Linked DNA regions of Daphnia pulex. The protein of the gene in region 1 interacts with the protein of each later gene in a pairwise test. Links are inferred from orthologs where the notes say so. Each region holds a gene or a part of one and is shown on either strand. Other genes may lie near its edges.

Evidence for each region. The genes of interacting proteins can lie anywhere in the genome.
Region 2: the proteins of GPN-loop GTPase 1-like (region 1) and GPN-loop GTPase 2-like interact in binary tests that used the Homo sapiens proteins (3 or more experiments, as listed by UniProt). The link is inferred for Daphnia pulex from reciprocal best matches to the Homo sapiens genes GPN1 and GPN2.

What each region holds. Positions count from the first base shown.
Region 1 is NC_060025.1:7,098,396-7,109,125, reverse strand, and holds GPN-loop GTPase 1-like, read left to right. Parts: upstream 1-5,041; 5' UTR 5,042-5,164; coding exon 5,165-5,410; intron 5,411-5,479; coding exon 5,480-5,818; intron 5,819-5,875; coding exon 5,876-6,105; intron 6,106-6,172; coding exon 6,173-6,396; intron 6,397-6,468; coding exon 6,469-6,560; 3' UTR 6,561-6,716; downstream 6,717-10,730. Other genes in the region: WD repeat-containing protein 46-like, read left to right, coding at 1,786-2,685, 2,748-3,137, 3,215-3,457, 3,526-3,621, 3,698-3,796, 3,858-3,986; uncharacterized protein C1orf131-like, read right to left, coding at 4,109-4,647, 4,723-4,879; GPN-loop GTPase 3-like, read right to left, coding at 6,729-6,810, 6,877-7,092, 7,148-7,665, 7,735-7,779; AP2-associated protein kinase 1-like, read left to right, coding at 8,257-8,395, 8,461-8,825, 8,893-9,035, 9,105-10,154, 10,222-10,454, 10,523-10,627. UniProt on the Homo sapiens protein: Small GTPase required for proper nuclear import of RNA polymerase II (RNAPII). May act at an RNAP assembly step prior to nuclear import.
Region 2 is NC_060019.1:10,645,184-10,656,283, reverse strand, and holds GPN-loop GTPase 2-like, read right to left. Parts: upstream 6,249-11,100; 5' UTR 6,101-6,248; intron 6,022-6,100; exon of another isoform or gene 5,949-6,021; coding exon of another isoform or gene 5,121-5,948; intron 5,059-5,120; coding exon of another isoform or gene 4,951-5,058; exon of another isoform or gene 4,809-4,950; 5' UTR 4,792-4,808; coding exon of another isoform or gene 4,697-4,791; intron 4,634-4,696; coding exon of another isoform or gene 4,523-4,633; intron 4,461-4,522; coding exon of another isoform or gene 4,280-4,460; 5' UTR 4,270-4,279; coding exon 4,230-4,269; intron 4,172-4,229; coding exon 4,082-4,171; intron 4,024-4,081; coding exon 3,818-4,023; intron 3,758-3,817; coding exon 3,643-3,757; intron 3,589-3,642; coding exon 3,062-3,588; 3' UTR 3,042-3,061; downstream 1-3,041. Other genes in the region: probable RNA-binding protein 46, read left to right, coding at 170-390, 471-622, 684-861, 924-1,098, 1,164-1,458, 1,522-1,654, 1,716-1,787, 1,853-1,900 and 1 more; proteasome assembly chaperone 3-like, read right to left, coding at 4,280-4,460, 4,523-4,633, 4,697-4,791; mediator of RNA polymerase II transcription subunit 7-like, read right to left, coding at 6,457-6,927, 6,985-7,170; tyrosine-protein kinase Btk29A-like, read left to right, coding at 7,671-7,832, 7,922-8,189, 8,303-8,656, 11,064-11,100. UniProt on the Homo sapiens protein: Small GTPase required for proper localization of RNA polymerase II and III (RNAPII and RNAPIII). May act at an RNAP assembly step prior to nuclear import.

The DNA of each region.
Region 1 (10,730 bases):
AAATTGACTTGGGAACCGGGAGATGTTAGACTGCTGCTATATAACTGCTTTAAAATTGTAATCGCGAGACTACGCAAACTATCCACTAAGAATACGTTTTCAAGGTAATGCTGCACGAGTGTACCTGCTGCAGTTGTCACGATTGGAATTGGAAGAGGAAACGTTCTGAATAGCTGGAATAAATATATGGATAATCGTTTTTTTTTTGCACTTGGCGATGTGAAAAATAGTTTTCCTATTATTATGGAATCTGTGAATATAATGCAGGGATTAGTCAATGCAGTCATTGCTGACAGTGCTCACGCATGGCAACAGAATATAAAAGACCAATGTGAACGAAATTCATGAAAGAATACAAAGGGAATTATTAATATCTCGAGATGAGAGAAGATGAAAGAGATCGATTAATTCGATCGTTAGTCGTTACACATACGTGCGCACTTGAATAAATTAATTTTCTACATTTGTTTACTATATTGTGTTTATACCTATAATTTCGAAATTGTCCAATGAGGGCGATTTTGTTTTATGCCATTAAAAGAAAACAAAATTGGTTTACAACGTTGTAGAAGCTTAACAACAATTTTGTGTTTGAACTTAGAGCATGGCTTAGAGTTCCATCAGTGTATAGGTAGGTATACCTAGAGGTTTCCATGAGCTGTCAAAGTTGTTCTCTCATAATTCTCGAACCGTATGCGTGAGTCTGGCTTTTTCTTGGACATCTCATTCGACTGATTATTTCTTATAGTGTCCGGATTAAGCCCTTTACAGCAATTTCCTATGCAATCGTCTTATACTGAAATGCCCTAATCTCCCGAATCATTCTGTGCCAGCAAGTTTTTTTACAAACTGAACATATTCCGTTCAGGATTATAATCTTAAAAAATCTGCCTAAGCCAACATTATACACTTTTCATCACTGGATCACTCCTTATTATTTTAATATTGTGTTATACCTATAGTCATAAGCGGCAGCTGAAACAAACACTAACTGATAGGAACGACACCTGTTTCCGTGAAGCCCCCTTTGCTGTTAGTATGACCTTCAATTTCCGTGACTTGCTGCGTAAAATGGCAAGTTAAATCTCTCAAAAGTCTCTACGTCTCGATTTTTGGGCGAACTTGCTGATGGTCCCAGTTCCAGGAAGACACAAACCGCCTAAAATTCACGACCTTTATCAACAGTGAATACACCGAAAATAAAGACGCTTAAAGGTTGAGATGTGATATCATTATTTAGATCGTCCTGACGGAAATGTTGCGGTTGCACTGTTGTACTTTCGTCGTATCCCACAACGACTTTTAATTCCCCATAATTCGAAACTAAGAGACATAACACATAATCCATACAATTTTAATTTGAAGGGAGGAAAGGGTACGTTGTTTTTAAAATTAATTTGATGCATTAAATTAGGGGACAGGGATTATACGTCAGTCAGTTGCCTATATCTGCTGATTAATTATTTGCCGGACAAATGTTTTTTATGAAACATGTAATAAGTGTTCATAGTAGTACGCGTGGTCATGGTTTATGTAAGAATGTCCGATGTTAAATTTGAAATTTGAAAATTCTTTATTCGTTTGAATTTTGAACTTTTTTCTTTTCTAATTCTCGTCTGCTATATTACATTATTTTAATGTGGCAACTTTGCTAGCAGACGAATTAAAATCCAAATTTTTAACTGAAGTTTCATTTATTTTTTACTCACGTGGGCATGCGTTCGACTGCAGTATCATTCAAAGAAATTAACACAGTTTGAGCAATAAACTATTTCTGTTTTCAAAATGAGTTCTCCGAAAGGCAGCGAAAAAAAGCCAGCTAGTGAAGTACCCTCAACTGCAACACAAAATCTGAAAAAGAAATTCAAGCCTCCAAAGGACGAACATTTACTCCGAAAAACTAAGAATAAAAAACCTAACAATACTTTTACTAAAAAAGCTGAAGGTCGCGTGGTTAAGAGACAACTACCAAAGTTTAAGTCTTCACATGGAAAAACTCCTAATTCGGGTGCAGTGCAGAAGTTTTCAAGATCTCCGAAGACTGGCCAAAAAGGGAAAGAAGATACACAAGACAATCAAACTGAAGAAGATCCTTTCCCAGGTGATGCGCCGATTCCTCATGCCAGACTCCAGAAGCACAAAAGAGGAAAGGCAGAAGACCTTGACAAGAATGGTGTCACTTTCCTTTCAAACAGAATTCATTTGAAGAAAAAGGAAAAACTCGTCAAGTATGCAGTTAACTTAGCAGCCAGATCAGAAATTCTGCTGCCAGAGGAAACTGGTTTCCTTGAGCCTGCCAAGGGTGATTGCACTTCGGAAATTACGCAGGTACAGATCAAGAGTTCTGTGGATATTACCAGTGCCACGAAACAATTTGATTTATCCATGCAATTTGGTCCGTATGCCATCAATTACTTACGTAATGGACGAAAAATGCTCATTGGCGGTAGAATGGGTCACGTTGCTGCCTTCGATTGGGTCACGAAGCAGTTGACTTGCGAAATGAACGTTATGGAATCAGTTCACGATGTGGCTTGGCTGCACAATGAGACACTGTTTGCAGTAGCGCAGAAAGAGTGGACATACATCTATGACAATCAGGGCATTGAAGTGCACTGCATCAAGAAATTGAACAATGTTCTCAGGATGGAATTTCTTCCATATCATTTCCTCTTGGCTACCACAGTAAGCAAATAATAATGCATTTTCAAATCCTCTCGATTTAATTATTTATTTGTCTCTTACAGAACGATAGCGGAACTTTAAGTTGGCTGGATGTTTCTATGGGAAAGATGGTTAAGCGGACTCACACACACCTTGGAAGACTGGATGTTCTGTGTCACAATCCCAGAAACGCTGTCCTTTGTTGCGGACACTCGAAGGGCACAGTTTCGATGTGGACTCCCAATTTCGTATCGCCTGTTGTCAAAATGCTTTGCCATACGCAGCCCGTTCGATCGGTCGCTGTCGACCAGAGTGGTGTTTATATGGCCACATCCTCTATAGATTGTTCGCTGAAGATATGGGACCTGAGAACCTACAATTGTCTTCAATCCTACAAACTAGGCTGTGGAGCTTCAAATATTACATTCAGTCAAAGAGGACTGTTGGCTGTATCCATGGGCAACATTGTTGAGGTATTTAACTAGACAACATTTATTTTCTAATTTAGCAAAGCCTTATCGAGGTTCGTGTTCACCAATTTTTATTTCAGGTCTATAAAGACATTTGTACCGAAACCATCCACAAGCCGTATTTAAAACATTTCGTTGGCAGTTCGGTTTCGGGCTTGAAATTTTGTCCTTATGAAGACGTGTTGGGCGTAGGCCACGCAAGAGGGATGTGCAGCATGTTGGTACCGGGAGCTGGAGAACCCAACTTCGATGCTCTCGAATCTAATCCGTTCCAGACTAAAAGCCAGCGACGGGAAACAGAAGTCAAATCGCTTCTTGAAAAGGTTACAATCAAAATATTTTACCAATTGCTTCAAACAATAATTTCGTATTCTCTTTACTACCTCAACAGATTCAACCTGAACTCATTACTTTGGATCCCTTCGAATTGGGTGAAGTCAATCGGCAATCAGTGATTGAGAAGTTCGAAGAAAAGACTCGTTACATGGTATAGTGGTTATTTAAAAACTTTTATTTGTGTTACGCTTTATTCTTTTGTATTTAAATCTAACTTTACTCTTTAGTTTGTTAAGCCTCCAAAGATCGACGTCAGACAGCGGAAAAACGCTAAAACGGTTAATCAGTTCCGCGTCAAACAACGTCTACAGTTACAACAACGACTGGTTTGTTTTCTCATTAAATTTTTTAAACTGCCCAATTCTTAATCCACTCCTATTTGCTTAGAAACATGCGGCGGCTGCCGAAAAAGCGACGAAAACGTTGACAGAGAAAACAGATAAAGCGCCATCCGAGCCAGTTGCTGCACCGAGTGTACTGGACCGATTTAAGCCCAAACCCCAGAAAAAGAAATAAAAACTCGACATCCGAAGTGGTGACAAAAAAGAAAGAAAACTGACGTTTTTCATTCGAATTGTTATGGAAATAATTTACCAGGACGTGAAAATATCACAAATAAACATTGTATTCTCATTAAGTCATTTTTTAGATTTTTTTGCATTCTTAATTTGTTTTTGAAGTTTTGGACCAAATTTTCCAAAACCAGCATCAAAATTAACCACTTTATTTCTATCCCTCCTAGGACCCTTCTTTTTGTTTGGTAATTGTAATTTAGTGGCAAATATGTGTTCAGCTTGTTTGAGTCGCTTTTGTCTTCCTTCTTCCTTTTTCTTGCAGTGCTGCATTACTTTATAGTTGACTGGCATAGCCTTTGGAGGCTTTGCTCCTAGGGACACTGCAAGAGCTATCTGAGCTTGATTTTTGCTGGTCTTCTTCAAGGCTTTTATAGTAAATTTTTTAACTTCATGTTTTGTCTTGATCAGGTTAAATTCTTCTGGTTCGGGAAAATTGTCTTCTACTTGAGACAATGAATTTTGTGTAGCCTGGCTTTTCTTGAGCTTTTTTCGTTTGCTAGGGTCATTGTATACAACAATTAGAGGCTCTGATTTCCCGACTGTCAATGGTTTGGGCTGCTCTTCTATTGGTGTTGCAAGTTTGTTTTTTAATTCCTTGAGGCCTATAAAAGAATGACAATTAAAAATTGCATGAACATAAAAAAAAAAAAAAAAAAAATATAGAAGCTCTAAAGTACCTAGTCTACTTTGAAGTTGCTCTAGATGTTTGCTCAATTTTGGCTTGCTAGATTGCGGTTCCGTGATGGGCTTTGATTGGCACTCATCACTAGAAATTTCTTCATCCTCGTCGTCAAAGAATGAATCGTCATCGGAATCTGAAAATGTTGGAGCCATTTGCGTCAGAACGAATCAAAACTCACACAAGTTAAATGCTTTCCTGTTATCTACACGTGACTGACAGTGTCACTTCAGTGAGGATTTGGTAAAAGAATGGCAAAGTGCAGACGAAATTAATGAAGTATAGAGGGAAGCACTAGTTCTTCTAGCAGACATCTTTTCAAACAAACACGTTTTTCTCTTGTTTTCTTCTTTTGCTCTCGCTTGTAGTTTGAACACGTTAGTCTTTGAGCTGAAGAAAAAAATTGTTCATTATCAAATTAAATTTTTTGTAAACTCACCATGGCGACAGCTGAAGATCCAGTAAAAAAAGCAGAAATTGATCAACCTTTGCTCGAGAGACACAAAAAACCAGTTTGTTTAATTGTTCTCGGCATGGCTGGTTCGGGGAAAACGACATTTGTACAACAGCTAACGGGTCTCCTACACATGAAAAAGAAGGCACCTTACGTGATCAATTTAGATCCAGCTTGTAGAGAAGTACCTTATCCAGTCAACATTGACATAAGAGACACAGTCAATTATAAAGTAAGACATCAATTTTTGCCTACTTGTTGAATTGTCATTTATATATAAATATTTTTTTACTTGCATTAGGAAGTAATGAAACAGTACTCACTTGGACCTAATGGTGGCATTGTCACTTCGTTAAATCTCTTTGCCACAAAATTTGATCAAGTTATCAAACTGATACAAAAAAAATCTGAAAACACAGAAATCGCTATTTTTGACACACCAGGGCAAATTGAAGTTTTCACTTGGTCAGCTTCTGGATCTATTATCTCAGAGACACTAGGTGCTCTTTTCCCAACAGTAGTGGTCTATGTTATAGATACTGTTCGTAGTGTCAGTCCTGTAACATTCATGTCAAATATGCTATATGCATGCTCCATCCTCTACAAACTCAGACTACCTTTTATCATAGTCATGAACAAGGTATGTCATATTTCAAAATTATAGATAAATCAAAATTGATAAATTTTTTGTTGGCAGATTGATGTTGTGAGTCATAAGTTTGCTCTGGAATGGATGAAAGATTTTGAGATGTTTGAAGAGGCAGTGGAAAGAGATAAGAGCCACCATGCAAATCTATCACGATCTTTGTCTTTGACATTAGACGAATTCTACAAGGATATCACTACTGTTGGTTTTTCTGCTGTTACTGGAGAAGGATTTGAAGAATTTCTGGCCGCTGTCGATGCCGCCGTTGTTGAATACGAAACGTAAACGACTATTACTTAAATTTAATTTCGGCAGAACAACTTATTGAAATTACATTTTCTTTCATAGAGAATACTGCCCAGAACATGATCGCTTGCTAAAACTTCAAGCCGAAGCCCGTACGAAGGATAAAGACCGCCAAAAGAAAAAATTTCAACACGATTTTGACAACGATGTACAAGCCCAAAGTGTATCAAGTGCGACATCTGAAATATTGTTGCGCAATCGAGCCATCGGCGGAGAATCCAGTAGTGATGATGAAGAACACGAAGGGCGCCCTGGAGACGACGATGGTATACATAAATATTTTGTGATTGTGAATATAGTTAGCTTATTCCTAATAACCAATAATTAATTTTTGGCAGATGAAGAAGACCGAGTTGGTCAGAAATCATTCCACAACTTCTTGGAAGAACAGAAGAAGAAGCAACAGTCGAAATCGAATAAACCTTCGTAAATCCTAGCGCCATCTTCACTTAACACCACTAATGTTACGACAATAACATGATGTACATCAATGTCATCTGAAAATACAAAATATACAGAAATGCTGAAAAAATTGCGGTGTATTGTGTTTCAAGGAAAAAGAAATAATAAATTCGTAAGTAAGTGATATTTAATTGACTCATCCCCTTCCTTCTTCGTAACCGTCATCGTTGTCCTCGTCTTCCTCGTCAGGAGCATCAAATTCCGCCATTTTTATATCCCTGAACAGCAATTAATGAATGACTGATCTGTTTTGTAACCCTTTGCTACTATAACTAGAAAGGTACCTGTCTTCTCCAAACTGCATGCAGTTGTCCACCATGAACAGAATATTGGCGAGATTGTCTTCGTCCGTTATATTAAGCGGTGCGAATTTGATTAGAGAATAGTCTTCCAAAACTCGGCCAATCATTTCAGTAAGCATCTGATGTTTTTGATTCCATTTTGAATTGACCACAACCGTATCGTTCGCACATATGTCTTTCACGTCCGGCTCCAAAAATCTACACAAAATGCAGGCATTAGTTGAGGAAAACTGTTGAAATGATAAGTTCTCACCTTTCCAGTTGCTTTTTACTCTTCTTGCTTAACAAATCAATTTTACTCAAGATGCTGATGAATGTAACCTCCAAGGTTGTCATGGCACTTAGAGCAGCCATTGATGCTGATATAAATGATGAAGAGTTTATCATAAAGTGACTGTCTAAGATAAAGACAGCACACAATCTGAAATTCCATAACTCTAGTGCTTCCAGCAATTTCTTCATAACATTGAGATGTGTGTATAGCTCAATCTGTCCAGGGCAATCAAAAATGAAGTAGTCATCATCATCTTCTCCAAGTTGATTCTCTAGCCACGGCAAATTTTCCAGAAGAAACTCCATACAAAAAACAAGAGCTCCATTTGGTCCAAAATGCATTTCCTCATCTTCCATTGCATCGTCCACATGAATGAGGTCTCGAATATCGATGGACGGTTTATATTCGAAAGACTCGGCTGCTGGATCCAAATTTACAATGTGAATATTTCGTCGAGAAGTTTCAGCATGTCGTTGCATTTCAGTGCAGTAGGTGGACTAAAAACAAATTCATTTTGTTACATCTTTTTTTAAGGAAACATTGATTGGTTTTTCATCTAAACTTACTTTTCCAGAGCCTGCTGGGCCAATGACAATTTGTGCATATCTCATTTTATTTCTAACAGGAAATCTTTTATATTTCAGACACGTGAAACACTTCAATTCCAAAATGACTATTTTGATTTGGTTTCCTGCGTCGTCTGCAATAGACTGTTGCTAGGCAACAGAACCGATTGCACTGCCAAGTGCTCAAGCGAGAATTTTGTGAAGCTTCTGACAGGTTTTATAGGGGGTGGAAAAGAAGCAAAATCCCGTTCGGAAGACGAGAGAAATTTCGGAAGATAAGAAAATTATTTGGATTCGTGTTCCAATGATATTCATTTATTTCGCATGACGTCTTTTTCGTCGTGATTCTGCCACCCCAGTTTGACGTTCCTGTTAATCGTGATTCGGATTATCTCTTTGTCTTCAGCTGTAAGTTTTTCTGTCAATTTATGTCGCAATATCTCGGTTGCTTCTTTTCTATATTTGTAGATTTTCACTATATCGTATATTTTTCCCTAACACACAGGCTGTATATAGTTAATCATGAAGAAATTATTCTCTAAAATTGAGACAAAAATTGACCCTTCTCAGAAGGAGTCTAAAGGTGGTCAGAGCCTTGTTGGAAAAGTGTTTCAAGTGGGAAAACAGTACTCTGTCACAGTTGAAGACATTATTGCCGAAGGTTTGTAATTTTATTATCAAATAATATTGAATTGTTTCACTTTTAATCCATGAATTCTTTTCTAGGTGGTTTTGCAATTGTTTTCCTAGTTAAGGCATCTAATGGCAGTCGCTATGCTTTAAAACGTATGCATGTCAACAATGATCATGACTTGGCTGCCTGCCGAAGAGAAATTCAGATTGTTTCTACACTCAATGGGCACAAGAATATTATTGGATACATAGACTCCAGCATCACACAGTCAAGCAATGGGGTGTATGAGGTGCTTCTCCTTATGCCCTTTTACAAGATGCATGTCCTCCAGTTGATGAATGAAAGACTGCAGACAGGCTTCTCAGAGCCAGAAGTTATGGCTATCTTTTGTGACATGTGTGAAGCTGTTTCTCGGCTTCATCACTGCCAGACACCCATCATACATCGTGATCTAAAAGTATGTCTAGGATTTATTTTATTAATGCTGGACTAAGAATGTAAACTATTAAATCGGTGTTTCACAGGTGGAAAACATTTTATTCAATGACGCTGGCCATTACGTCCTTTGTGACTTTGGTTCAGCTACGGCCAAGGTGCTTAACCCATCCACAATGGGTGTGGCTGTTGTTGAGGAAGAGATTAAAAAATACACTACATTGTCCTATAGGTAATATAAAATTATACTGCTGTTGGAATAAGTAAAAAAAAAAAAAAACTTATATAATGCCATATGTAGGTCTCCCGAAATGGTCGATTTATACATGGGGAAATCCATCACAACCAAGGCAGATATTTGGGCCCTTGGTTGTCTCCTGTACAAGCTCTGCTTTTTCACGCTTCCTTTTGGTGAATCGACACTAGCCATCCAGAACGGGCAGTTTAATCTGCCTGAAGGTCACCGGTATTCTAAGCAATTAGTTTCACTTGTACGCTACATGCTCGATCCAGATTCGGATCGCAGGCCAGACATCTACCAAGTCTCGTATGCCGCTTTCAAACTTGCTGGTAGAGGTGAAACTCCCATCGTAAACCTCCTCCATAGCGTGCCTCTCGAACTAGATCAACTTCCGTCTCTTGATACACGACCTGCTCAAGTTAAGCCGATTACTACACCAAGCATGCCAAGTACTAGGGTTTTAAGCAGCCAGCCACCTGTTGTTGAAGGTGGGACGACCGTCACTCCTCGGCAACGACCCAAGGCTTCATCCATTACCAGTACTCTAGGTCAAATCCCACTACCTACCAATAGTCTGAATCCCGCTCGGCGCGTCTTGCCAACTACTACCGCTGAGCCTACACCGCTTCAACCAGCTGCTCCAGCTAATCCGATATCAGTGCAAGAGCTCTTTCCATCTTTCCCTCAAGATCCATTTGTCGAAACTTCCCAACCTAGCCCGGTAACCGGATCCGGTCAAGGTTATTTCAACTATGGTTATGGCTATCCGGCCGCAGCTGCCAACGCAGCAGCAGTGCCTAGTTGTCCTCCAACTTCTACGGCTACTGTTTCGCCACAACCGGCCAGCCTTCCCCCTTCCGCCTTGACGCCGGTTGAATTTCGAGAGACGAGCCAGACGCAATCGGCTGATCCACTTTGCTCGGTTGATTCCCGACAAGAGGCTGATATTGCTCAGCGTTCGTCTATCAGCAGTAGCGCCCCTCGGTTGAATCCGTCGGCTGGTAGGACCGCATCGCTAGACCCTCCATCGTCGTCGGTGACACCACCAGCTTCACCCACTTCACACCATAGGCATCGTAGGAACATGAGCGACACTTCGGCTTTCACGAAGTAAGAAAAAGATTGTTATTCTCAACATTAACAAAATTTAATCTAATTATTTTTTCTCGTTAATAAGAAGCTACGCCGACGAGACGAACCAATTTCTAAAATCATTTGTGCCTCCCTCCCAAGTGACGGGCGAACCATTCGGACAGCCAGACACGATGGCGGCAGCTGTAGATGGAGCGGCCTTGGTAGGTCACGTTGCCGTCTGGAATCCCTTTGACGACCCATCGCCCTTTTGTCAGCTGAACGAAGATCACCTGTTCGGTGCCGAGTTTGATAAAATCCGTCGTGGTTCCCAAAGCAGTAAGCTTGTTTCAGATTCGTTTATTTACGAAATGGCCGTCTGACGTTTTCGTTGTTTGTTTTTTCAGGTATAGTCAATGTAAAAAGCAGAGAGAGTTTAGTGATGAACGCTGCAGAGGCTGGCACTGCTGCCGAAGATCCGTTTGGAGCTGCTCCGTTCCGCCTTCCGCCAGGTAATCATGATTAATTGAACTAGTGTTTTGCACACAGTAGACCTTATGCGCTTTCAATTTTTTTTTATTGTTTGGTTATTTATTTTTGTTTTTTGTTTTGTTT
Region 2 (11,100 bases), on another chromosome or scaffold:
ACCCACTTTTTCCTTTAATTTTGGCGGGCTTATGTTGCAATATTGAATCTTTTTTAAAGGCATGAATTATTGGCATTCACGACTTCAAGTGTTAAGATTTATTAATTTACCCCTAGTGCACGTTGTTAAGTTGATAATGTAGTCCTTAATGCTCACGTTATCAAAACAGATTGGGAAGGCCCTCCCCCTCCTAAAGGGACTGAAATATTTGTGGGGAAATTACCACGTGATGTGTTCGAAGATGAATTGTATCGAATCTTCTCTACAATCGGCCCCATCTACGAGCTCCGTTTAATGATGGATTTCAGCGGCTCAAATCGTGGCTTTGCCTTCATCCAATTCGCTCACCGACAAGATGCCAATCGCGCGATTCAGTTGATGGACAACTATGTATGTGCATATAGAACACTATTCAACACTTTTGAAATAGAACACATGTTATGTACTATTGATGATCTTATTTTATCCAGGAATTGAGACCAAGACACCACATTGGCGTGGTCAAATCGATCGACAATTGTCGCCTATTTATTGGAGGTATACCTAAAACCAAATCTCGCGAAGAAATTCAGGGTGAAATGGAAAGGCTGACCGAAGGCGTAACCAAAGTCATCGTTTACAGGTGAGTCTGTTTAAATTATTTTAAATCTATTTAACCTTAAGCTTTACGTTTTTGCATTCAGTTCCATCACAGATAAAACTAAAAATCGTGGTTTTGCGTTTGTCGAGTACATTAATCATCGTGCAGCTTCCAAGGCCCGTAGAAAGTTGATTCCCGACCGCATTCAGTTGTGGGGTAAAGAGATAGCTGTTGACTGGGCCGAACCGGAAAATGAAATCGAAGAAGACGTCATGTCGCAAGTATGATTATTGCATTAATCGTGTAACCGAACCAGAGTTGAAATATATTGTTTCTCGTTTAGGTTACGGTCCTGTACGTCCGCAACTTGTCGCTGACAACAACAGAACAAGTTCTGCGTGAATTATTCAACCGTGTATCAGACGACAATGTGCAGAAGCTTAAAATGATGCGTGATTTTGCATTTATTCATTTTTCATCCAGAGAAAAAGCTGAGAAAGCCATGCGCAACATGAATCGTAAGTCATTTTATTCCTCGTGTACGGCAGTTAATTTAATGTGCTTTAATTTTAAAACTTTACAGATACGGAGATCAATGGCACGACGATCGAAATTACTTGGGCAAAACCAGTCAAGGAGAAAAAAGCGATCAAATCTAAGCCGCCATCGAGAAAAACGTCTTCGGTTTCGATGAACTCGGTCTCTTCTACTTCGTCGTACAGTCCTTGCAAACCGGCACCAAAGTTTGCTCTTTCCGCTCAGAACAACCGCATATTGTCATCGCCGCCACCACGTCCGGTTCAGTGTCCCCCGGTCACTTTGCCACCGTGTACAATGATGCAACAATTGCCGCATCCGTTATCCAATCAGATTCCAAAGTAATCGTAACTTAAATGAATGTTCTTGCTTGAAAAGTTGCTAAATTATTAATTTTCCCACAGCGTCTTTACTTTGCCTCCTCCATTCCACGGCGGTGGTTTTCAGTCAAGTCCAACTGGATTTCCTTCGAATTCGTCGACATCAGTTTTCCCACATCAAGGAAATTTCATGCAAGCCGCAACTATTGACCTCAACGTAATTTTCTTGTATTTAAAAATCTATCAAGTCACCGTAATTTTTATTTTTTTATTAATAGGGAAATCGTAACTACAACACTCATGGCATTATGGCGGATACCAACAACCGCATGCGCAAAACTACTGATCCGGTAAGATTACAATTAAAATTCGACCATCAGGGTTAATGTTTACTTTACCATTTCTTTTTCTTTAGATGATGTTCACTAATTTTGGACCACCGCTTCATCCGCAACCGAACTGGGTAAATTTTAAACTAGTATTTACTATTAGTAGAGTTTCATTAATTTAGGGTTTTATTCCTATTAATTCAGATGGCAGAGGAGCGTAGTCGTTCTGGGATGACTCGCGACTCACTTAAGTTCCCGATGGATGGCCTCAACACTCAGTTTCACAAGCTGGGCTGTATTAACAACTTGAATCGCGTGGGTTTTAATGGAAACGTCAGTGTAAATCCATTCCAAATCATCTCACCTTTCCCGTCTCGTCCAATGATGCCGTAGATATCCCACATATTTACTTATGGTTATTCGGGTATGGAATTCCACCTGCCAATGAGGCATTTTCTTTTATTAATGTACTTCATTCTCTTATTTTTATTACTCCGTTTGAAGTTTCACACTGCATTGATAGTTTTCTCAGTGCAAATCTGATGCATTTTAATGTCTTTTTCCCCTTACTCTTTGTCCCACAGAACCAATTGCAAACTTCAACTTAACTTATTTGATTTCTTAACGTAAATTACCATTAATGTCAACCATAAATTAACATTTTGATTAATAAGAATATTTACAAGGATTTCTGATTTACGTAGATACTTAAATACTGAAGGTTACCTTCTGTTTCAATTTCAGAGCAAATTTTTTATAAAAATAGCATTAGAAATATTTAGAAGTTCATCCATGAACGAAACAAATGCTAAATTTAAAAATCAAACAAATTCTTTATAGTATTTCAAAATAATTCCAAAACAATTTATTTTTCTTTTTACTTCGATTTGCGTCCAAATGGATTTTAATAATTTTGTGAGTCTTCAATGGGTTCTGTGGGTTGCATCATTTTTCCTTAACTGTTGATTATTGTTCTGTATCACTTTCAATGTTTGTGCCTTGAAAAATATTTAATCCAGTTCTCATTCTTATTATTTATGGAAGCAAAACGAAACATGTACTTTCTGACTTGCTGTTCCAATAAACCCGATTAAGAAAATCATGCCTCCGAGTTGTTTTTTAATTATTAATTTTTTTCCATTGGAAACCATAATCCTATTTGCAAGTGTGTTCGACTTCTAAGTTGCCTGATTTATAGGATAACCAAGGACCTTGCCTCTTTAGTTTACTAATTTTTCTTTGATGATGAACACAAAAACGAATAAAATTCAAAAATTGAGGGAATATGAAACCATCTATTTAAATTCCGAAAGGGGTTTAGATTCATCGACAGACATGGAATTTTCGTTATCAGATGCTTCATCCTCATCACAGTTATTAGAGCTCAGAAATTTTTCACTTATTGTTCCAGAAAACTCGCCATGAAATTGTGCACCCACAGCTGTCGATAGTAAGGCAACGATATTTCTTTCATTTTCTTCGCCGGCTCCAAACACATAACCATTAGCTTTGTCTACAGCAGCACGAACATTCTTTAGTAATTGGGAGTCAGAGATGGATAGAGGCAAGAACGAAACAAAGCTGTAGTTTTCTACCACATCAATTAAAGCAGCATTTAACTGCCGATATTTCTTCATGAAAGGATCCGCATTGATTGCTTCCAACAGGTAATTCAAATCCAACACCTCAGTGTAAAAGTCGAGACCAAAGTGCAGCCGTCCATGTTGTTCAGCCAGGTCTACTTTAGACAGTACGTTAACCTGTGGCATTTCCATTTGGAACATGGATGTCATGGCCGTTAACAACACCGATATGAATTTACCTGATACAAATGTTTGGTTACTATGGTTCTATCTGTTAACAAATGCGGGTTTACCTGGATCACTGCAATAGTGAGAGTCGATCAGTTGAACACAGCATAAACGAAAACCAAATGCTTCTAACTGTTTCATAATGTTTTTTACAGAATTGTTGTGGGTATAGAGCTCAACCTACACAAAAAAGATTATTACAACTTTTCTAGAAAACAGTATCACCTGTATTCAATATACCTGTCCCGGTAGATCGAAGATGAAGTAATGATCTTTGAATTTCTCTATTTCCACAAAGAGCCAGTCCAAATTCTTTTCGAGGAATTCCATACAATAGACCAAGGCGCCGTTCGGACCCAAATTGTAATTTTCCATTACATCTTGGACAGTAATCAATTTTGATACATCAATGGAAGAGGTAAACGGTAATAAATCATTCCCAGGATCTAATCACAATCATATTAGAGATTTTGATTGGAAAAGTATAATAACATTTTAAAATACCTAAATTAACTAGAGCTACTTTACGATTCTGGGATCGAAGGAAATCCGCCATTGCATGACAATAAGTGGACTTGCCGCTACCGGGAGGACCTTATAACATTACACGGTAAAAATGTGTAGCAAATTTACGAACGTAATTTCTACATACCGATAACGGCTTGGCCGAAGATGGTTTTTCTTACAGACATGTTGGAAAATTTATGCAGATTTTTCGGTGAGGGAAAGGTTGATCTTTAGGAATTCGCCAACTTGACGAAGAGTTTTCGGCTGATAGTCTTTAAGTGACAAGGCAAATAAAATGTTTTGCTGTGTTGGAATAAAGTTCACCAAGAAACGTGCAGCAACGTGAATTTCCTCGTCGTCTCGACCGAATAAGACTCTACAAAATTGCAATGAAAGTTAAAAAAACGAAACGAAATTGAGACGACATACAAGAATTACCGAACGCTGTAAACTGCACTGGAAGAATCGTCTTTCTGAGCAACGTCCCGACGGACTTCAACCACGTTTCCCACCTTGCCGTATTGAGTAAGTATGATAAATAACTTGTCGCTAAAAAGGACAATGAATTAAAGTGTAAGTAATGCAAGCAATGAACTAAAGAATTATTCCAACCTGAACTTTGAAATGACAACTTCTGTTGAATTCCCGTTAATCTCGATAGTTTCTGTTTTAGTCTGGACGGGAAATCTTCCCGCTACACCTTCCATATCAAACGATATCCAACCTGAAAGATATAAAAATGGTTCGTAAAAATTAGTGGTCGTATAACAGAATGGAAAGCAATAAAATGGTAATTGACGTCAACTAATTATGATGTGATAAATGCATTTTTTTTTAAATTTTATCCAATTTATTGATCACAATAATCAAAAATTTTTTAAAACTCTAGAAACCATTCTCCTCTTGTAAAAACGTTGATACTCTTCAGGCAGCATGGACAGGTGTTTCAGAGCAGATTCAACCATCTCCAACGCCTGCAGTTTGAAAGTTGAGATAGAAAAATAACCGAGGCCCTGAAGCTTTGACAGTGCCTTACTTTTGAGGCCGGTAGCGGATCTTTGTTGCCGTAAGGGTCTTTTTTATCGTACACCTCTGGACTCAAGTTTCGCCAGAAAACGTTGACTGCTACGGAGAACTCGAGTGATGTCATATTATGAAACCACAGAGCCGGGATGAAAAGAACGTCTCCGGGCTCCATGATACATTCGTGAGATGTTACTTTGGCGAACTCCGGAAAGTGTTCCAGATCAGGAAAATCAATGTCGATAACCCGAGATTTGTCGCCTTCCAAATAGAGATACGGAAGGTCTTCTGGCGAATAGAGAACGGCTCGTTTTTTGCCAGTGACTTGGACAAGAAGATTGTCCATCACATCGTAATGTGTCCACAACTGAACTCCTTCAGAAGCCACCCTGAGGACACTTGAAAAAATAGTGCTTGGTTCCAAAAACTTGGGAACTTGAAAATCTTGGCAAAGTTCAGGATAATGAGAATCAAGATTGGCAACCTCTCTTCCCCTTGAATCAGTTCCAAGTGCCCTTAAATAGTAAACTTCACTGTTTGTTAGAAAAAAGTTTTCGTGCTCATTTTCAGAAGACCTTTTGATTACTTGATCAAACGGCAGTGTTTTATAATGAAAGTTTTTGGTTAGGAAATTCATTTGCCCTGTTTCAGATACATGAATCTTCACTGGCTTATTCCCAACATTTTGCGAAAGATATTCAGCTGTCCACTTTCCTAGACAACTTCCAATGTCTAATCCTCTGAGTATGACAGGACTTCGTTTGGGATGGATCTCATCAAAAAATTGTTCCATTAGGATATTGTTATAGACGGGAACTGGGCTGACTTTTCTTTCAGTCATTTTAAAATTTACTCTACTAACGAAAGATGATCACGTGTAAAAACTTGCTTTGGCTATAACAATTGAATGTTACCTGCAAGGCGAAATGATAAAACTAATAACTATCGATAGACCGGTTCAATATACAGTTAAATTAACAGCAATGCACTTACCAAAAGCAGAGAATTAACTTCAACGGTATTGTTGTTTCGAATCAACTTTCAAGAGGAAAAATTTGAAGGAAAAATATGTTACAGCGACTGCAGACGGACTAAAACGAATAAACAACGTTGCAATTTGATCTAGATGTTTAATTTAGGTGGATCATCAACATTTATCAACTAAAATACAAATAGAAAAATCTATTGCAATAATTATTTTAAAATAAAAATTCTTAAAAAAAAATAAATCACCGAGATTATGTTTGTCCCAAAACGATTAAAAATAAAACAGCAGACTATTTTACATCAGAAAGGCGAGTAGATCGAATGTATTTTCCACTTTGAATAAACATAAAATAACACAGAATTCACAAAGAATCAATCATTTGACACAGAACACGATCCTCCTCAGTACACCCATTCCCAGAAGTTTGGTTGCTTGCATTGCCTTCTGAAGGTTGAACCCGTTCAACATCTATAAGGAGCTTGATGTTGCCTTCAGTTGGTTCAGGAATTGTGTTGACAGCCTGCTGAACCAATTCCCAAGCTTTGTCAAAATGTCTTCTGAAACGCTCTGCAATTTCCAATCTTTGTCGTTTTTGTTGTTCTAGCATAACTCTAAGAGTTTCCCTTGCTTGATGAGGCCGAAATTCATTGACCAGATGATGCATGTGAATGAAAAGCAAAGTGAGGTCATCAATTTTTGTGGCTCTTGCTTCAGACTCTGGATTTCGTATGCAGATATCAACCAAGTCAAGGAAACTAGCAGTGATGGAGTGATTGAGCTTTTTCAGTTCTCTTCTGTGGTCATAGTTATTAGGGTACAGACGTCGTATATTCTGGAATAGTAAAACGAGTATTAAAGAAAGCTTTGATTAAGAAAAAACTTCTATCACCTGGCTTTCAAGAGGTCGGATCACAGCATCATCAGTATTATATGGATTACCAAACATGGAATAATTGTCTGTGATCGGAGGAGGTGGTCTCGGTGTTCTTCCTCTTTTAGCGTTTTCTTCATTAAAAAGACTGACATATTGCATCGGTGGCAAAGGTAATGAACTAACTTGAGCCGTTTCTGACATTTTTACTTTCCCACTGGAATGAAGCAATATAGTAATGTAAACAATATAGTTTGTTTTCAAGAATGAAGAATGTGACGTTTTCTAGTTCGTTTGCTTGGGGATTTCAGCAGACTATTTTTTGATCAATGTTCTCCTTTTTGTGGCTGTCCCGACACGCCATTCTTGAATGGAAACAAATTTGATTTAGAATGTTGTAAAAGAATTCAATTTTACATTAAATTGTCATTAAATCAATTAATCGTTGTTTATTTTTTTATTTTAAATGTATATTTCCTCGATTTTATCGCTAATTTTCGGAGGAAATTAAATCCGATAATAGTTGTCGGCAACTGCCGCTAGATCTGTCCGAGTTGCCAGTATTTAGAGAGGTTTGGAGAGCTTTTTCTTCGTCCTGCTTTCATTCTCTTCGTACCAGGGTCCAGGGAGAAAGACAATGAACGAAGTTATAACAGCTTTATCAAGTGGGGACTACTTTTTTGATTAGTGATCGTTTTGTAAGTATGTTTAAAAGCTCTGCCAAACCTCTTGCAGGTGAGGTAAAAAAGCAAGGCAATTTAGTGAAACGATCACAGAACAAGAAGAGGTTTAGTTTGATCAACTACAAGAGTCGATGGTTCGTCCTTACCACAAAGTTCCTCGCCTACTACGAGGGCGAATGCGAGGTAAGGTTTAGTTCTACTAAACACGCATGGACTGTGTTCGTGAATCCCTTCATCACTAATTCATCACAACCATCAATTCCAAACAACAGAATCGCAAAGGAAAAGAAAAGGGACGTGTCGACCTCCAAACAGTGAAAGTTGTGGAAGCTGTTGATCCAGCACCTGACACACCTGCCATCGGTCCATTGGCAAACCTTACAGGTTCCATTCCGAGTGATTTGAAGGGATCTCCTGCTTTTCAGATAGTGTACAATCCTTATGAGTGTAATGAAGGTTGTAGTGCAACAGACTTGACTCTTTGCATTTTCACTCCCACTCAGCAAGAAAGAGATATCTGGCTTTGGAATATCCGAGTTGGTGAGAACATTCTCTTTTGACGTCTCAAGTAGTTATGTGTGACAAATAGCAGTATTTATCTCACATGTTCATTTTATCTCATCTAATAATTTATTTTATTTTTCTCCTGATAGTGGTCAAAGACAGTGCTCCTCTTGTGAATGTGTATCACCCTGCCCTGTGGGGGAATAGAAGTTATCTTTGCTGTGGATCAACCCAAAGGTCCACGTCTAAGGCAATAAACGGTTGCCGTTCTGTAACTTGGGCTCCCAATACACTTCAACACATGGGCATCAATTTCAGTAACATCATCCACCATCCGTCTCCCTCACCAAGTCCTGTCGCTAAACCTGCGAATGGGGCTGAAGTCGAGGCGGCCATGGTCAAACCAACGGCGATTAAACCCACGACGGAAATTCATCCGGCAATCGTCGGGGATGTTGTTCCTGCATCCCCTTCCACTTCTCACAACGCCGTTGTTGCGTTAGGTACTATACCCGCTTATGTATCCTACTAAGTGCTAACTAATGATTTACACCCGTTCGTTGCCTGCAATACTTCTAGGAAACAGTAGTTGTACGACTTCTAAGTACATGAACAACAGTTAATGTTGAGTTATTTCGCATCAAATCCTTAGTCAAGGACTTTGGGAGGGAGGGGGATTTAAGCCAATAGAAGCACATTCTAAGAAACTGCGTCGTTGGAATAGATTCAATTTGTTTTCCTTGTAAAAAAAACTAAATGGATAAAGTTATTACATCCACTTCACTTGCGAAGCTAAATTATCGGATAGCTGAAAAGATCAACTAATTATTAGAAAACTAGAGAAGTGAGTGTTGCGTGTGGCGCTGCAGTGGTTTAGAGAAAGAAAACTTGTGTGAGATTGGTACTGGCAATATTCATGAAAATTTTCTCTATTGAAAAATGTTGGGGATTTGCGGTCGGTCGGAGAGAAGAAGACCTAGAGAATGCACACAAGCTTGTTTTTCCCCGAGATTTTTTTATTCCTTTCGGCGGTTTTTAGTTCTAGCCCTCTCCCTGTACTCAGTGGGCACTGACCGCGTCTCTCATAAATCACGTTTCTTTTTCTCTAATGACGAGAAGAGGACTGCACATCTCATCAAGTCCCGTGTGAGAGCGAAAGCAAACGACAAACTGGACTATTCCTACGCGAAAGTGTGGGAGAGATGATGAAGCCAGCACAGCACAGTCTCTCATATCTCTCAGAAAAACAGCCTACGTTTGTTTCATTCAGATACTGAAATAGTTACCTGTCAGTTCGATTAGTGTTGCGCTTGTGTTTACGAGATAAAAAATAACGTGAGAATTATTGATAAGCTTCCACCTGCTGCCTTGGTCCATTGTTCAAATCTATTTTGTTGTAGTGCAAGTTTTGCAGTCAGCTCGCCCCTACCTATTTTGTTTCTCTAGTTTCAATGCGTGTATGTAAGTTTTACGTACATGGCTGATGTTTCAGAGGTTTTAACGGGCAAATTATGCGCATTTTTGGTTGCCGCTGGCCTATTTGGTCCACAATGTCTTCGGATTCTCTCTCTTATAAGATCACCGAAAGTAAATTGACTCTAGGTATGGTTCGGCTTCACCGTGTTGTGTTGTTTTTTTCTCTCATCGGTTTTCTTCTCATGTTACTACCCTTGAGCAATCGAAAATCGCACAGGCTATTCACGTTGACTCCCACCTGAAAGTCACCTGTTGAATGACTCAACAGGTGTTCAATGCGTTAAGTTACAATCGTAAACCATCGCGGTGGGTCTTTATGTGCACTTGGGTTTGGCTTGCCTTCCGACAAATTTCTGGAATTCAATTTCTAATTTTAATCTGTTGTATTTGAATGCTTGCGAGGGCAATCATTTCTTATGCGGTTGTGTTGTATGGAAAATATTTACATTTGTGATTTATTGTTTTCTTCGGGATTTCCCTAGTCCCCTTGCAGAAAATCCAGTATGTGAGATTATACCACAACTTATCTGTTGTCCGTTAATTCCTGTTTTCTTGGTTTCAACGTTTGAAAGTAGTAGTAGCGATAGAAACTTGTCGACAGTCTTGTGTGGTTGCGTGTTTCAATTCCCTCGAGCGTATTCTAGTGCCGTGTGTGTGTAAAGTGAGTTGGATGTTGATTAGATTCAAATCGACGGGAGCTCGGCTGACCTCACCTCCTCTTTCGTCAGCCAGAAATGGTCCAGACTGGACGTTGCAAGTTTTTCCTTTTCTTTTTTGGGACTATTAGAATAACTATTAGAAAAGTAAAAACCCGTCCTTGTTTACGAGTTTCTGACACGCGTACAATTCAAAGGAGCGCGTTAAAGAGAAGGGGAGAAAGTTCCCTCCTCAATTTCTCATACCGGTATCGAGTCTGCTAGGAAAAGCCTTCCTTATATCCATTGTTCGCCTGTGGTTGAATAGAAGACGCAGCAACGATTTCTCCCACACTCGTTTCTCCCATTCTATCCTTTTTTCTCTCTCTCTCCCCTCTTTTTCTCTCTTCTATCCCATTTTTTTATTTTATTTTTAGTTGTGTTTTGTATCCATCTCCAAGCCCTTGAAACTCTTAGGTCGAAGACTACATATAGACGACAGGCCTATTTTGTATGCCAAGGACGGAAGGTTATTATACGGCTGTGTATGTGTGTGTGTGTGTCAGTACATCCGCCAAATAAGCCTTTGAAAAGAAGAAGAGGAACAAAAAGAACCCCCCTCTCCCCAGCTTCCCTTCTCCCAAGTTCGATGATAATTCAGCTCTACGATGAAAATTACCTTTCAAACCATAAGACACCCCCCATCGTCTCTTGTTCGCTATCGTTGTTCTCCATCTATGTTATTTATTTTCCTTTAAACCGCCACTCATCGTGCGCTTTATTCTTTTTTCACCATTAGGTTCTTCCATCCCGACTGAACCCGCTGTCGTGCCTAA